Drosophila melanogaster: one gene and its partners. The protein of the gene in region 3 interacts with the protein of the main gene of each other region in a pairwise test. Each region holds a gene or a part of one and is shown on either strand. Other genes may lie near its edges.

Region 1 (3,041 bases), on a different chromosome or scaffold from region 3:
CATATTTATTTTTTCGATCGCTTGCAGCAATCGCTTGCATTTTTCCCATAGCAGAATATATGGAAAAACAAGCTAAGGAATATCTCGGCCAGATGTCAAATAGTTATTCAAACGTGACAGGCTCACTTATTATTCTCACTCGGTGCTGGCGCAAGGGATGATTTTAATTGATTTGGAGACCGGCCTTCTATACACACATATAAACTTGGAAAAACTGTCAATGTTTATTTTCTTTTTCCAATTTTTTTTGCATATGATTCTAGCTTGCTAATCACATATTTTTCGAGTCGCGCAATGCATATGAAATCGGACACACCTACACCTACTTCTCTCACTTTCACATTGCTAAGCTATTGCCTTGGTTATGAAAAACTTTGCTTATGCATAAATTTTCTACCAGCAAGCGGGGAAAATTGAAATGCTTAAAAGCGCATGAAAATGTTGTTACAAGTTTGAAGTTTTTGCTGGGTCCCTTTTTATGCGGAGCACAAACTTTAAATGCACGTTACAGTATGTAGGTGTGTGTGTGTGTGTGTCTGTGAGTGCGGTAAAGAGAGGCTTGGCTATTTGTTAAGAGAATTTCTATAAAATGTTCAAAGCTTTTGTTATGGAAACTTTCCCTGCGTGCCGGCACCCAAAAACTGCAAAAAAGTATTCCCGCAGGCCACTACAGGTGAAAACTTTCGTTTACATCAACTTAAATATTGTGTATATGTGTGTTTGCGATCATAATTTGTATTACTTAAGCCCATCCAAAGCCGAGTAGAAAGCCGCCCAAGAAGGCCACACATAGACGACCGCTGGTTGCACACGCCTTCCTGGCTTTATCCCCAAGTTCCTGAACGCGGTTAAGATTCACTGGCTCCAGGGATATTTCTCTGACCTCTAGCTGCCCCCGGGACTGATCCTGTTCCAGCTGTGAGAATGTCTTGAGCACATCCAGCTGGACCAGTCCCGCCTGCCATGCCAGCTCGAGCGCCAGAATGGTACCGCCAGCGGCCACGGCCATAATCTTACTCGCCTTGAGGAGCACGAAGCCGGTGAGAAAACCACCGGCAGCTCCCATCCCGATCTGGCTGTACGGCGACCTCTGGCTAAGGCTATTCATGGCTAGGATTGGGTATTAGAGCAGGTGCCCGATGTGCTGCGCTGATTCGACATACGTACTGCTCTTCACCACTGGTAAGTCACTCATTTCAGCTGTTTTTGCGTCTTCCTTCTCTACCTGATGCTGTGCTTTTACATTCAATTTGGGTGAGCTATGGTGAAAGGTTGCTCACAGCATGCCACAACTGTCGCTTTGATTTGCGCCCTTCTATGCGCTTCTCACACTCCCCAGCTGCGCTCAACTGGGCAAATGTCCGCCAGACCGTGAACGTCTAAGCCGACAAAAACATCAAAGTTCGAATGCGCCCATGAAAGATTGGGGTGGCATTACGTAAACGACGACCCTTACATTAAATGGCCTTAAATTTGGTGTAAAAGCACATTTTAAAAGTTTTTAATTAGTCATAAACTCTGGCAAATCATTCCTGCACACAATCTCAACCCACACATATTTACATTAAACTTTTCATGGTTACTCAGTAATGCGATAGTCACTTTTCACTAATTTATGATGGATTTAAGCAGGCGGAACAGTTTTAAATAATTTTTAAATATATTGCTTTTATCTCAGTACAAGAATTGAATAGCTACTTCATAACGTAAACTTTAAAATCGCTGTTAAATACTTATTTTTCAGTGATTCATTGCCTTGTCAGCTACCAGCTATTCAGCTGAAGGTATAGTTGGCTGAGTTCGAGTTTACAGTTCAATTGCCTGGGACCCCCGAAACGGCAACGGGCTTTAACGATTGAATGCGTTTTGGGGCTTAGTCTCACCAGTGCTCTTATTTAATTTATCGTTCAATTATGCGCCCAGCCACGCCCAATCCAAATAGCTGAGGCCCCAGGAGCTGTCGAGGTGTTTTTCGTTTATCGCTAGCCGAGAATCAAATTAACAATGAGCACGCAAATTGCCACAAATGACTGCGGAACTGGACTCGAGCGGAAAAGGGAATTCAACTATTTTCCGAGCGATTATCTAGGAGGAGTAATGCAGTCTTTAAGTGCTTTTGTGCAAACAATATCTCAGTCGGACAACGGCAGTAAACACCCTTGGGTGATTCTCTGCAAGCAACTAAAGTGTTGGAACATTTAAATTGACATTAATAGGAAAAGTAAAATGTGAAATCGTCTTGCCCAGAGGAAACGGAAAATAAAAACCACACATGAAATATAAATGAAACAGAATGCAACTTGACCATAAAATGTGAGCTCAACTGAGCGAAAAAAGGGCCAACACAAGCGGAGTAACCGAGTAACAATTTCAACATCAATGCGAAACGTGTTGGCCATGTGGTGTATTCTCTTACGGCGGTGAAGTTGGCACAAGAAATCCTGCTATTCGAAACTTTCTCCCCTTACCTTATTTTTTTCTCCGCAAGTCCTGATTTTATGTCCATTGTTTAATACAGGTGTTTGTCTAAGTACGTGAGCTGGTTAGGAAATGCTTTCGTTCGACTTGTTCCATTTTAAAATATTTGAATATTGTCATATACGACGAAAATGAAATATTTACTTAAAAACTTTAACTTTTTGGTTTTGATGATGTGACTATTGTTTAATTTCTGTGTAAAGTCCTATAATTACACCCTTTAAATTGTATCGATTGATGAATAACGTACAAATCCTTATTGAAAAGATACCTTTTCCTTGCACTGTAAGCGTCTTCTCTTGAAAAGTTTACTGTGGTTTTCCACTGCTTTATATTCGGTTTGCTCGCCTTTAGACAAAGCGGAATCAAACATAAGATTGTTATTGTACTTTATTATAATCATATTGCATTATAGCAGAAACAGAATTCGGAGTTCTTGCAAAATATTCAAGCTATTGCAAACTTCTCTTTTGCGAATCAATGTCGTATGAAGTTTTTTATCATATCTGGGAGAAACACTGAATTTCGCTGCACTCAGCTAACGAATGCATCATTGCAAGATG
Region 2 (8,037 bases), on a different chromosome or scaffold from region 3:
GATGGGAAACTTAAAAAATAAGCCACTTTGGTCTATCAATTGGACTAAGAAACAATGATTCCTTATAGATAATTTTCTTATCGCATTAAACTGTACAAATACTATTACTTGTATTTAAAAATAAATTCGTTCAAACGGACAGGGCCAGCATCAAGTATTTATTTATTTTAGTTCTGCTAAATAAATATTTTTAAGACCTAATATGTGGGCAGTAATGAAAGAAAGACATGATATTTTTGATGGCGACAAATTCTAATTAGCTAAGTGGGGCCAAGCTCAAAATAATCTATGTTTATGGTATTCCATGGAAATGCAGTTGTGCCATTAGAAACTGCTCCTATTAAAACCCCTGTTAAATATTGTGCATAAAATTGTTCAACGGGTCATTATAATACAAAGTGCAAAGGCCAAAAAGAGTCGAGTTCATATTCTTACACTTGTAGCTTTTTAAGTGGCTCGACTTGGAGAGGAGTTTTTAGAGTTGCGAGATACAGATGCAATGCTTTGCGGATCTTGCTGAAGCACGAGACGAGTAAAGGCTAAGCTGAGGAGAAGTGCCTGGCCTAGAAGCTCGCGCTGGTAGCGCTCTTGTTGTGAGAATTCGAGGCGTAGGTCAGCGGGAAAGTCGATCTGTTTGTGCAGCTTCAACGGGGGCTCTGTTTCGGGGATCTGATGTTCCACGTTGTAATGGGTTCGCATCATGGCCAATATCGTATCCTCGGACGACACGCGCTCAGTACCCACCATGTGATTAAATAGTCGGGCTGAGAGAAAACGTCGCATGTAGTAGACGTTGTTCGTCTTGTTCTCGTCGCCATCTGATCGGGCCATCAAGGAGAAGCTCATGATTGCGGAAACCTGGGCCTTCTGGATGTTCACGTTCTGTTGATCGATGCTCCCTGGGTTGCTGCTGGCCTGGGCCATTTGTGGACTCTCCATGACGTAGCAATCGGCCACGGGTATCTGGTGAGATACATAGAGGCATCGGCGGGAAAGTTCTGACAAATGCAGCTTCTTGTCGTTCAGCTCATGGTGCTGCCAGTGCGTGAGCAGACAGGGAGCTTCGTTGCTTCCGATCTTTAATCGCGCCCAGCTTACACTGGTCACTCCGATGCGCACCCCTACAGCAGATACAATACGTGAACGCTGTCCCTCGTCCATGGCCGGTGTTATAAAGGGCGCGACTCGTGCAGTCTTTGGTCTATTTTCCCCTACTTGTGCGCTCCCACTGCTCGGCGGCGCAAGCAGACTCTTAAAGAACTTGGTGGTCACCTTCAGTCCGAATCCCTCCACATACAGGATGTCGCTGAGTTCCTGCAGCGGTCCGTGACGGTTCTTCCAGTTTTGCAGCTTGGTTGCCCTTGCCTTGGTTATGTCGTAGCTGGGCGGGATAATCAGTATTTGTGCAAGGCAAAGTGCAGGAGTGGCTACCTACTTGGCTATCTGATTCATGCTGCTTTCATTAATCGTCTTCAAGATCTTCAAACGATCTGCATCCGAGTAGGCGGGCAAGAGGCCGATGGCTTGGTCACATTCCGGCTGACCCGATCTGTGTTGCTGCGTGGACGAAAGTCTTAGGCATTTTGTCGTTACGCCCAACAATGATCGCCGGCACAACATATTTTCCAGTATATGATTTATATTTGTTGTTACTTAATTTGATATCGTCTATACAGCTGTTCGGTTAGTGGGACCAAGCTCATTTTTTCAGTTTTTCTAATTAATCGATATACAATGCTACACCATCGACGGCTACAAACAATTTATAGCAACTAATTGTTAAGTGAAAAAGATGAGAGAAAAGGCATGTATTTCACACAGCAATCATTATACATTTTAGGTAAAACTACAAAGGAAATAATTTATAAATATAATATAAATCACATTATTAATTAATTTTTAAAGAAGAAGAAACTGGAGCAGTCCGTATAGTATGGCTAAAGAAAAATGCTAAAATCGCAGCACTGCACGCTCTCTGTCCTCTCACATTCTCTTTCACTCTCGCTGCGGGAACTCGAAGTTCCAGTCGGAACGTCAACGTCGAGTGGGCAGTCGTACGTCGATTGTTGAGCGGCTGTGGCACATATATAAACAATAAATACAATTCGTAATTTTAATTGAATTAAGACAATAACAACAACGGTTTCTGGGACTCGGTTGCCTTGCCATATGTGACACAAAGCACACACATGCGACCGTAAACTCAGAACTCTGTATTTGCGCGAATGTGGGTGCATAAAAGTGAAATTTCACAGCGACAAGTGGAAAAGAAAACGGAGAAAGGCAGAGCTGTGGCCAAAAGAAAATCCTGGTCATGTCATGCAACAATAACAACAACTATAAAAACAAAACCACGTACGGCTATTCGAACAACAATGATACCAACTGCATCATGCAGAAGCCAGTGCCCGCCTCCACCGCACCCGCCTTCCCTCAGCTGATCCAGGCCAGCTGTTCCAACGCCGTGGAGGTGGATCCACCAGACAGCATTGTGGGGGCTGCCGGCAACTCCGAAGCTCTCTTCGCCGCCCAGCGCACACCGGACACGTCGGAGGACAGCGAATGTGACCCGTTTCTAGCCAGTCGGAGAGCTACCCGCTCCTCCGCCACCACCTCTGTGCTACACAACCGGAAGCGCAACTCGTGTTGGGGACGAGCCCACAGCTTTCTCACCCGCAACTGGTACCTGGGCTGCTTAGTGCCCGCCACCATTCTAGGCGCCCTCGTCTTCATCGGATGGGCGACGCGGGACTATGCTCGCCAATTGCTCTTTTGGATCGAAATGCAGAACGCCTGGATAACATTTGCCGTCTACATGGGGCTCTTCGCTCTTGTCAGCTTCCCCGTGGTGGTGGGCTACTTCGTTCTGCTCATCACCGCCGGTTACCTGTTCGGCTGCCTGCGCGGTTGGGTCACCGTGATCCTGGGCGCCAATATCGGCATAGCCGTGGCCCATGCCACCATTCGCAGCTGCCGGCACCGCATTCCCGTCCAAAGGTGAGTTGCGCGTCTGGTGACACTTCATCGACTTCTTAAAATCATATATTTATGCGTCTTTAGTTTAAAACTGCTTCGATATTCCAGAAACTAATTTGTGCACTTTTACACGTCATAAGCGGCATAAAGCGTAAAATTTAAAAAGCTAAAAATCGAAGCTCCGTTGAAAATACAGAGTTTATTTATCTGTTCGTTGAGTAGTGTTAAATACTACGCATACAAATCCCCAACTGTTGAAAATTAGGTGTACTATCTTCTAAAGTCATGCGCTTTGCTCTTGTAGGTACACTCCGTTGAAAATAATTAATTGTGTCTATGTATCCTTGATAAAGATCTCCAACCGATTCCATTTGTCCGTTTGTCTGTTGTGATTTAACAAACTAATCCGCGCAATTTGGTTTTAAGTCATTGCCGCGATCACAAACGCAGTAACCTGTTCTACACTTCTTAAAAAATATTTCAGTTTTTAAATAATAAATTCATCTCTCCAATAATCAAGAAACAGTGGTCACGCACAAAACGTTAATATTTTTAATACTTTTAAGCGGAAAACTGATCTTTGTATTGACAAGTGCTACAGAGTCCATATGCCCATTTTACGAGTAGTACATATTTAAATTTATTGCGATCAGGGAACCCTATCTTCCATAAGTCTCGCTTTCTTGTATCTAGCCCTTATATTACCCATTGCTCTGTGTGCTTTTTGTATTCTCCAATGCTGCGGTTTCTTCGAAATTTTAAGTATTATGCCTGGCAAGAGGTGCGTCGCGGTTGTTCCGTAGTGGCCCCACCGGATAGGAGTGATGTGCTTCTGGTGCTGCCAACGGTCTGGCCCTCCGAGCTTACCAAGAGGATCCGCCCGCTCTCAGTGCCCGACCTGATCGAGAAGTTCTCCTGCGATGCCCCTGGCGGACAGTTCGCCACAATGTCCGAGTACCTGCGCAGCGATCCACGGCCCGACGGAGTTCTCCTGCCGGATGAAATTGATCTGCACCGAAAAATGTCCCTGGACGACCTTAATTCTTATATGCACGCGAAGGACGCATTCAAAGAGCCGCACAGGAAAAACCGCATATTTTCGCACGTTCTTGTGGTGGCCGGAGCTGACTCAGCTCGGAGTTACCCCTTTCGGCAGAGGCCTGACTTCCTCTATCTTTGCGACTGCTTGAGACCAGGGGCAGCATTGGTTCTCACCCGCAGCCGAAAGCGAAATACTGGCGCGTTGCTCTTTCTTTCCCAGGATGTGGACTCCCAGCTGTCCACCATTTTTAGCCATATGCACTACGTGGACGACGTTCTGCCCCTCGCAATGCTTAAGAAAAGTTTACTCTGGCTGTTAAGGGATCACTCGCCCGAGCTATGGCACTTCTACGACCCATCGAGTCCTGTCAGTTGTATAGTGCAAGAGGTGGCTAATGAAGCCAAGATTCCTATGGGCAATCCCCGATACATCCTCCAGTACACACGCACCGTCAAGACCTCGCGGGAGCTGAGAGCCCTGCGTCGGGCTAACGCCACCGCTGCGGACTCCATGGCGGAGGTAATCGCACAGCATCATCAGATTCCTCAGGAGCTGGCCGCTTCATTTGACTACAAGTGCCGTTTGCGCCACGCTCGTCCCGACGTGACAAAAACTTCGTGCGGATTGGATGGCAATGGGCTGTGGCAGATGGACGCTGGATGTCAGTACGGAGGCTACGAGGGGGGACTGGCCAGATGCTGGCCCAGCTCGGGGCGATTCACGCCGCCCCAGAAAATGATTTATGGTGCGCTGTTGGACATGCGTCGGGATCTGTGCTCGTTGATACAGTACGCAGGATGTGAGGGTGCCGTCCGCACACCTCTGGAACTGCACGCCGCCTATTTAATCCTTCTGGCTCGGCACCTAAGGGAGCTCCGCGTGTTGCCTAAGGGTGTCAGCAGTGCAGCCGAGACAGTGGAGTTGGCTCGCAAGTACAACTGCTCCCCAGTCGTGGTCTCGCACGTGGGTCTGGGAAAGCGAGACACCAGTCGCAGACTCCTTGACTATCCCTTCGCTCCCGGAAACGTGATGTCGCTGCGGCTGTCAATCTCTATTCCCGATGACTGCTGCCAGGCCTACCCCGAGTTCCGGGGCATTCTTTGTCAGCTTGGCGACACCCTGCACGTCCGGGATGATTACTCCGTGGATCTACTTACCGCCGCCTGCCCCAGCGAGCCCCAGGACATAGAAGTCTGTCTACCTGCAAGCCGAACCAGATCGCATAGATTGCGGAATGACGGTGATCAAAGTGGATCTTGTGACACACGACAATTGCAAAGCCACGGTGACGGCGACTGAGCAAATACATTTGCCCAAGGAATATCTGATAAGGGCAGTTATTCCGCAAAATCGATATCGCGTATCCACATCGCCGGTACATATAAATGTGTTGTATGTTTTGTATATAGGTACTAAACGCTCATTTGTCATTAAACCCGTTTGCAATTAAAACCCGCCTCATTGGGTAAATCCCCCTTTAACGCTCAGTCGGTTTTGATCTCCTTATCAGACATTTGTCGCGCCTGATAGCAGCAAGCTTTTAATTTCCGACAATTACTAAACTAGGTTCCAATACCCAGCGGACATAATTAATCAATTACAGAGGCTTATGAATTTTCTTTAAAAATAACACATTTATTTAACATCACATTTACCAAATAGGCACACCTAATTAAAGGTTATTTGTGTGATAGCATGAAATCAATGCCTACCAATTTTTATGAGGGAGCGTAAACTGTTTCATCGACGAACGGTGGAACTGGCTGATAGCCCCAATAATCATTTCCTGATTGTTGGATAAACTCAATTAGAGTCAGTAGTTGGGTGTAATTATGTATATATGTACATATGTATACTTAATAAATTAAGTGATGAGACCCGTTCGATTGCATCTATTTGCAGGCTGATCAAGAATGATACGGGACGAGCCATTCTTCGCGTCATTTCTGGCCCAAAGGCATTTCGAGTCGTTCTCTTTACCCGACTTACCCCCATTCCCTTCGGAGTGCAGAATGTGATATTCGGAGTAAGTGACTAGATTTTGTCAGATCTATTGTTATTCTTGAACTTGTTGTTCAGAAAAGGGCGAGTTCGAAATATCTAGATATTCTCTTATTGTTTGCCAATTTGTCACTTCAAGAATTTTATTTATTAACTTTAAGAATTCGAACGTAAAATTAAATGGAACAAATTGAAAATGGACCAAATATTCGTCACACTGACATGTAAATAAAATTTTGCAAAGCTTTGTGAATCTATATGAATAATTATTTATACTGCAATATTTAAATAGCTAATTATACGAATAATACAGAGACGGTTACGTTGTATACCTAATATATGTGCATATTCGTCAAGTTTCTATGCAGTTAAACTGAACAAAAACCAGTTTTCCTTAAAAATTAGGTGCTAAATCATGGCACGCTTAAACCATTTAGTTTCTATATCACACTATTATTTTCACAGATCAGTTCCATCAACACAAGAGACTACCATGTGGCCACGCTGATTGGTTTGCTGCCAGCCCAAACCATCAATGTTTACTTGGGTTCCACGCTAAGGTCCATGCATGAAGTGCTCAGTGATAACGATACCAAACTGACGGGGTATATCAGCTTCCTGTTTGAGGTATGTTCGCTTTGGATCGCAATTGACCTCTTCTTAGATCATATGCCTAATAGTTTTTGAGTTTGTACATTTGAATTGCTTCATTATTGCTGTTTAATAAGTCCACAAGCTCTTTGTTTAATTATCTTGTTTTATCTTAAGTTATTTAATCCACAATGTGTCTTTTGTGTCTTTAAGGTAATTTGCGGCGTGGCCTTGATGTTCTGGGTATTGCAGAAGGCCAGAAAGGAGCTGTCTGAGACGTTGCTGAGCGCTGATTACAATAACGAGGGCAAGCATCCCGACGTACAAGTTTAACAGGAGCCACTTGGGGAACGGAGTCCTACAGGACCCCCAGCCAAAGAGAATCTCCTGGACTTTAACAGAAGACTGCGTTTTTGCATTACCTAGTTCAAACTAAGGCGGTTTTCGAGTTGTTTTATTTATTTATGCTCAAGGCAATGCCATTGAAACCAAACATTAAGCTAGCCTTAGCAGATACGGATTCAAATCACACTCGTTCCCTAAAACTGTATGAGGGTGTGTCATGCTTCACATCACACATTACTTCTAAGAATTCCTGAGATGTACATTTATAAATAAGTCAAAGCCTCGCTCAAAGACCGCTAGCTCGAAGACTCGATTGTTGGTCATAATGCTGCTCTATAATGTTGTTCAATTATTAGTTTGTAAGCGAATAAGCAAATAAATGAGCTCTAAAGTACAACTTTTCTACATCATCATTGTGCTGTTTCTCCAACTGCGAGGGCTCTTGCTCATATGAAATTTAAACGCTTCCTCCAGTGTCTCCAGGGCAAATTCCACGTCTTCGGCACAAAGACACAGTGGCGGTCTCATGCTCAGCACCTGAAGAGAAGAGGAAACTTCAAATAATGCGAAAATTATTATTATATTAATGACCCTCCGTCCTACAGTGTAGCATCAAAAAATGTAATCTGGAAATTTTACATTTCATGGGATCTTTTTACTGGTCAAGGCCAGGTACTAAATTTAAAACTGAAACAACAATTGTTGTTCTAAAAGATTGTGCTTTAGGAATAACTTGTAAGGTAATTGTCAAATAATGTTCGTGCGCTTAAACTTTTGAAAATCTACATTGGTACCCAATTTTTACACGTTTAATACGTGCTATATATGTAGTGCATACTTTCAGTCATTTTGTATTTAATGCTTATGTTGTGTCAAAATTTTATATGTATATCCTGCTACCAATAATTTATCCTTTTCGAACCGTCCAAGATGCTAGAATTTGCATTTTCAAAAAGATAGAGCTTGGGAATGTCTTCTGATTTCTATATAAATAAATGGTTATACCGATTTTTAAGATAAGTGGGTGAGTACATTTAGAATGGTGCGTATGCTGATCGTAGATTATAGCCATATTCCGAGCT
Region 3 (3,293 bases):
CCGTTCAGTACCCCTCAAGTTGGCGAATATGATGAGGTAGGCGATCGCAAGGCAGATCGATGCAGCCCCGGAGCAAATAATGCCCGCCTTGGAGTCCGGTTTCCACATTTCCAACTCCTCGATGGGCGTTTTGTTCGCAAATGATCCATTGTTCCATTACTAAAAAGCTTTTTTTAATACTTATCTAATCAGCCATTGCTTTATATACAACGCATATACATAAAAGCCTTTGTGGGATATATAGGCACCGCAAAAGGGATAATAAAATTGTGCATCATAGAAAACAAGCTTTGCTAAAAGCCAAATGATAAAAGTAAAAAAAAAACAGAATTACCTTTGTCAGAGATAACAGAGATGTGAGCTGGAAACGAAATTTCGCAGAAAAAAGATAACAAATATATTTTCAGAGCACACTGAAAATAATAGTTCACAAAAGTGATTGCCTTAAAGTTTATAGTTCCCATTGCAAATTGTAATAAACTTTAGAAAAGTTTAAATTTACACCGATTTCTTGTGGGTTTGTTTCGTTTGAATAGCACTTAAAATGAGCTTTTATTTTCCAGCTATCTGATCTACCTTTAATCTTTTTTTTGTTTGTATTGAAATTGCTTATATATGTATCTATATGTGATTGATGAACTCCTTCTTGTCGGACAAGCTGGCATATGCCGGTGGCTCCTCCTTGCGCATCCTGTCGAAGGCCTTCTGCACCGAGTACAGGGCGCAGCCCAGATAGGCTGAAAGTGAAGGATTTTGGTTAATTGGCTGTCCAATCTCTGGCTGCGTTAACTCCTCACCTGTGAACGGAACGACCATCAATGGTCCGAAGATCCAAGCTGTGCCCTGGACTATCAGTGAAATGAACAGGTTCACCATCAGGTATAAAAAGAATCCTGTGGTTATCATCCACGGCACGAAGAACTTGTGCTTTTGCTGTATGCAGCAAAGAGCAGAGCAAAGAGATAAGAGATAAGAGTGTTGTGGACTGTGCACAGTGTGCCTAACTAACCTTTATGGCTCCAACGATGAGGACCACGCTTCCCAAGATCTGCAGCGCCGAAATGTGTATTCCCATCTCGTAGAGTCCATCTGAAACGAAATAGCTCTATGCATCGCAAAGATATCCAAGATTGGTATGTATATGCGCCTACATTTCCAGAAGTAATCGTCCATCAAAACCAGATAGGTTATGGCAAAGGCTATGGACAGGCAGCCCGAGCAGATGATTCCTCCTTTGGTGTCCAGCTTCCACATGTTTCCAAAATCGCAGAGTAACTTGCAGACCGCCGATTATTTCACAACTAAACTGGACGGGAGTATTCATGGTGGTGATGGGTGAGCAGGCTAGCTTTTGCCGCAGACCTTATCTAATCTCATATTGTACTGTAGCTCCTCCACCAGCGCAACAACAATTGAAGAAAACCTTTGTTGGTTAGTGTATAATTATAATTTTATTGAAGGATTCGCTTATTATTGCTTCGACTGGCCAGCTAACTGGGCAATCCATGCGGGCCTATCTATCGATGGGTTCCCAACTTGTGGCTACACCATTTTACAATGAGATACGACCTCGAGTCGATTACTTTGAATAATGCAATGGAATTTAATTGATTAGCTAACGAATTGAGAGTGGCGAGTGTGCAAAAATTTGTTAATTGTAAAATTTGTAACATGCGTTTTACTATTTGGTTTTCTTGCATCTTTAACTAGTATAATTAGGTATAAAAAAATGTTACTGCAATATCACCGCACGGCATTGCTTCATATGTATGTTTTGATGTATAATAACTATTCGATTTTCAGTTAACTCGCGTTATAAACTGCAAAATGTAGCGTATTTTAGAAAACGTTCGAGGCGTTCTACGTTCTGCGTGAGAATCGTTGATTAATTTGAGTTAAGTGGCGTTAGAAATTGGTTAAGATAGACTTAAGAAACTTGGCAAACGTCGCCTTCCTCTGGTGTTATCAAGTTAGTCAAGATATATAAAAATACGTTACGTAGGTTATAACATTCGATTAGTACAAGTAGGTATGTATAAATATATAAAAAGTACACAACGTGTAAATAAGACTAAGTCAATAGAGGAGACCTCCTTCGGGCAGGTTGCTTAGCTGCCCCGCGCATCTGTCCTTTCTCATCATAAGCACTTCATATTTCGATTTGTTGCATTTCGATTGGTTTTGTTGTTTTTTTTTTTTTTTTTTTGTTTTGTTTTTGGCAAAATCACAGGAGAATTAGAAATATAACATCAATATGATAGAGCGAAAGTGCATTCGATAGAGCATTCGTTCAACTTGGGTTGCTTTATTTGCCTTTGCTTGCACGAACTTGGATTCCGCCTTAGTTAAGTTTAGTTTTGCTTCTGGGGTTTTTGAATTCTTTAAATGTATATTTGTATAATAAATTATGACTATATATGCATTTATATATAAGTATATAGATGAATATATTTAAGAAGTAAGTAGGAGGCGCATTATTCCACTTTTCAACTTAGGATAACAACATTGCATTCGCGATTTCTCCCTAAGCCTTCGATCGCTGTACTGACTGACTGGCTGGCTGGCTGACTGACTGACTGACTAACTGAACTGGCTCGCCAAAGGCTCATAACAATATTTAACTATAGAGAATCGCCGATCAAAAATAATAACCATATGAATAGTGGTGATAGTGACAATCGAAGGATGCCGACGTGTATAAAATAAATAAATAACATCGCGTAGAAAAGGATCTGCGTTAAACCTATTTTAGACATCGACTACCATCTTCTTGTGAATGTCCGTGTTGCCGACCACAGAGCAGAACTCATCGAACGAGATCTTGCCATCCTCATCCTTATCCGCGAATCCGATCGTCTTGTCCACAATCTGCTGCAGTTGCGTGTCCTTCAGATTATTGCCTACCATCATCTTTAAAACCTTTTAGAGGGGAAACACTTCAGTGGAATGAGCTTAACGTAATGTTCGCGGGTCTTGCCTGAAACAGTTCGCCATTGGAAATGTAACCATCGTTGTCCATGTCATAGATGCGAAAGGCGAAGCGCAACTTGGACAGCTTGTCGCCCTTGACGCTGAACTGCGACACGCCCTGGATGAACTCCTTGAAGTCCACCTCGCCGTTGCCGTCCGCGTCGAAAATGTCGATCACGCGCTGCACCAGCGGATTCTGTTGCAGCTCCGGCAGCGACATGAACTCGTCCACGCTCAGCGCGCCCGAATTGTCCAGGTCCAGTTTCCGGAAACGTTTGCCCAGCCGCCGGATCTCGTCGGCGTCGACTGCAGAAAGGCGGGAA
Region 4 (3,319 bases), 840 kb from region 3:
CCGGAGCGGCCTGCACAATCGTGCGCTGCTAATTTGCACCTAAAGACGGTCTTTGTTTCTGGCTCTTCGGTTTAGAAAGTAGAAAATTATTCGCCGGGAATATGAAATGAAAGTGTTCCGAGGCTTACCTCCCTGCCGTTTAAAAGTTTTCGCAAATCTGTAAGAAACATTTTCCGTGAATTGGCAAGAGCTTTGCAAATTGACAAATCGATTGCTGCGATTTGAATCGATCGGAACTTATGCCAATCATCATCGGGTAATCCAATAACCGACAATTGTATTTGCATATTCCCCATCCAGCAACGGCAGTCATGACCCCAAAAAAATGCAGTCAGTATACGGTTCTCCTTTGTCTGCACGTCGTTACCCGAGAAGGTACTTGCCACACGCAGCTAGCCGATATGGAAACCGCAACTTGAACTCAAGTTGCCGTCAACGCGTGCCACCAACCACAAAACAAAACGAATCAAGAAGTTAACTGATTGGGGATATGGAAGGTAAAACAAGCCCCTAAAGTTATGAGATCTGTTAAAACACGATGCAATGTTTAAATTGTTATTGAATGTAGGAATTAAGAACACTATGTTTAATATTATACAATATTGAAAAAAAAAATACACATTCAACAAAATAGTCTATTGTTCCAACTACTGCAACTTTAGTGGTTCTCCTATGATCTCCAAACAAATTGGGTTTGGGCGCGGTATATTCCTCTCATCTAGTGCGTTAAACAATATGACAAGTTTATGACGTCCTCTAAGAAGAGGTCCACGAAAATTCTCAAATTTTAGTATGAGATCGAAGGGCTCGTGTACCAGAACGGTCTGTAAGAAATCAGAATATTTTCAAAATATTGTGCAATAAAAAATGGTAGTGTCCTTTGCACACAACCATATGAATAATCTGCATCCCATATGAGAACTATTCCCATATGCTATTATATTCCACCGTATTTGGTTGTCAAATTGCTTGAACTCCACTTACATCAGGCCCTCTGAAGCACTTCTTTTCCACCTCATGGCGATTGGTTATAAACCTTGTCCAATACTTATACCAATACTGGTTCTTGTCGTACATGATGGAGCAAAAGTTCTGGGTGGCCATGCTAAAGACAGTGGGCTCCCAAGTGCCGCGGTTGAAGTGAAAAACATCAAGTCTCGCCTACACGGATGCAAGAGTTTTGATATTAGAATCGATGATTATTCCGAAGCTTGCAGTTTGTGTTACAGTAATCCGATCGGTGGGCTGCACATCCCACACGACGGTGGCGTTCCCGGATACATGAAGTATATCCCCTTTCTGGTCGATTACAATGTCGTCTAAGTTGAGTGCCTGGCGGATGTTGATGGATCCGGGAGGACCATCAGTGCACGTCGAAAATATGTCCGGATCCTCGAGCAATAATTCATAGTCTGTGGCCCAGGAACTGGTCACTCCTAATAAGAGTAGCAGCACAAATATCATGATGACCATAGAACCGAAAACTGTGAGATCCGACCCCTTTATAGCCACTGCCACAATAGAGTTTTTGATATGTTTTATTTATACACCTTTTAAAATGATGACATCTAATCATGGTATGCCATCGTACATTGATTCAACACGCAACAATGTAACAACCATCTCCTGTTAATCAGACGTTGTCAAACTCTAACAATATAATTGGCAAATCACGTTATGTGACCCTTGAAAATATTCGTGCTTAAACATTGTAAAACAAGATGTTTTAATAATAATAACTTTTGGGCTAGAAAAAAAAACAAGTTTGAAACAAAAAACAAATTCCCCAAAGATTTTCTTGGCGATCACATATCCGTGTGGGCGTGACAGTTTTGGGCGGTTTTTGGTCGTTAGAGGGTGTGGTAGAGTAGGCGTGGCAATCTTCTGAAAGTACTTCTCTATAATCTGCATCCCTTATCTTATCAATATAGCTTTTATAGCTCCCGAGATCACATACGGGCATAAGGTTGATCAAACGAAAAAAAAGGTTCGCGTCACCTGTTACACACTTTGTACCAAATCAAGTACATATATCAAGTTCAGAATAGTTGATATATTTTATTTATATTTATATTTTTAAGATTGCTTTTTATTTTCAAAATATGTAGATATTGGGTTTATATTGTTTTTTAGGTTACTGATATCGCGCCTTGAACAGATTAAGCCCTTAATTAATTTATCTTCTCGGCCTCTCCCCTGATTTCGAAGCAAATGGAATTACGGCGTGGCACATCCTTCTCATCGACCGCCTCAAAGGTGACCACAGCTTTGTAACGACCCCTGAGAGTTGCACCACGAATGTCCGTTAGACGCAGCTGCAGATCGAATGGATTGTGCATTATAACGGTCTGTAATGGAATCCCAAGGTTAAAGTCACCGCGCCAGAGATGGACTGTTTTGTTTGCAGGGAAAACTCACACCACGCGTTTTAAAACACTTCTCCATCACCTCATCGCGGTTCGAAATGTGTTTGGTCCAGTACTTAAACCACGACTGATTCTCATCAAACATTGAGGCGCAGAAGTCCGGCGTGGCCATGCTAAATACAGTCGGTTCCCAGCTGCCGCGGTTGTAATGCATTATTGCAAACCTGGCCTTAAAAGCAATTGTTTATTAATAATCTTATTTCGTATAAGGAATGCGGGCATTACGGATATGCGATCTGTGGGCTCCACATCCCAGATTGAGGTGACACTCTCGGACAGGTGAATGATGTCCATGTCCTGGTCGACTACCAGATCGCCAATATCGAAGGCATCGTGGAATCCAATCGATCCCGGCGGCGGTTCAGTGCAGGGTGAAAAGATATCAGGGTCCTCCAGCAACAGCTCGTAGTCTGCGGCCCAGGAACTAGCAAAGCCAAATACGAACAGCATGAGAGTTCTCATGATGACAATAGTATCACCTGGTGGGATGAGACCCTTTTATAGTACTTGCCATCATGATCTCTTCTATCATTGCTATCATGTCATCATGTATCCACTCGACATGCAACAAAGTTACAACCATTTTGTTTGCCAGACATTATTTTAAATCGACATTTAAAGCAAGAAGCTCACTTCAACCATAACAAGTTTCGAGGAAATCAGTGCCAATGAAAATAGTCCTTATTAAACGATCAAAACAATCATTCCTGTTAATCTTATATTTATTAAGATATATAAGCTAAATACTAAAGGTTTTAGCCATTAGCATAACAACTTGTATGCCAAATAGGCATTTAGATTGTTATACTTGTAAAAGTATAACCTTTTGTTCTTCTTGAATTCAATGCTAAAATCTTTGTAGGCTCCTTGATTAAATTAAATTTTTACTTTTT

Evidence for each region.
Region 1: the proteins of CG12825 (region 3) and CG12511 interact in a two-hybrid assay, tested with the Drosophila melanogaster proteins (one large-scale study listed by BioGRID).
Region 2: the proteins of CG12825 (region 3) and CG11367 interact in a two-hybrid assay, tested with the Drosophila melanogaster proteins (one large-scale study listed by BioGRID).
Region 4: the proteins of CG12825 (region 3) and CheB42b interact in a two-hybrid assay, tested with the Drosophila melanogaster proteins (one large-scale study listed by BioGRID).

The regions. Positions count from the first base shown.
Region 1 is NT_033779.5:5,676,852-5,679,892, reverse strand, and holds CG12511 (uncharacterized protein), read right to left. Parts: upstream 1,312-3,041; 5' UTR 1,196-1,311; coding exon 1,168-1,195; exon of another isoform or gene 1,111-1,167; coding exon 743-1,110; 3' UTR 670-742; downstream 1-669.
Region 2 is NT_037436.4:22,726,097-22,734,133, forward strand, and holds CG11367 (uncharacterized protein), read left to right. Parts: upstream 1-2,014; 5' UTR 2,015-2,314; coding exon 2,315-2,997; intron 2,998-3,669; exon of another isoform or gene 3,670-3,712; coding exon of another isoform or gene 3,713-5,317; exon of another isoform or gene 5,318-5,504; intron 5,505-5,916; exon of another isoform or gene 5,917-5,920; coding exon 5,921-6,044; exon of another isoform or gene 6,045-6,484; coding exon 6,485-6,646; exon of another isoform or gene 6,647-6,823; coding exon 6,824-6,943; 3' UTR 6,944-7,350; downstream 7,351-8,037. Other genes in the region: mael (maelstrom), read left to right, coding at 1-21; CG14450 (uncharacterized protein), read right to left, coding at 448-1,381, 1,436-1,620; CG32454 (uncharacterized protein), read left to right, coding at 3,713-5,317; CG11241 (uncharacterized protein), read right to left, coding at 7,358-7,492.
Region 3 is NT_033778.4:7,787,217-7,790,509, reverse strand, and holds CG12825 (uncharacterized protein), read right to left. Parts: upstream 1,305-3,293; 5' UTR 1,255-1,304; coding exon 1,152-1,254; intron 1,090-1,151; coding exon 1,010-1,089; intron 934-1,009; coding exon 798-933; intron 738-797; coding exon 622-737; 3' UTR 522-621; downstream 1-521. Other genes in the region: CG12824 (uncharacterized protein), read right to left, coding at 12-108; CanB2 (calcineurin B2), read right to left, coding at 2,749-2,919, 2,978-3,276.
Region 4 is NT_033778.4:6,942,523-6,945,841, forward strand, and holds CheB42b (chemosensory protein B 42b), read right to left. Parts: upstream 1,474-3,319; 5' UTR 1,465-1,473; coding exon 1,228-1,464; intron 1,162-1,227; coding exon 985-1,161; intron 825-984; coding exon 648-824; 3' UTR 574-647; downstream 1-573. Other genes in the region: CheB42c (chemosensory protein B 42c), read right to left, coding at 2,172-2,348, 2,419-2,595, 2,652-2,888.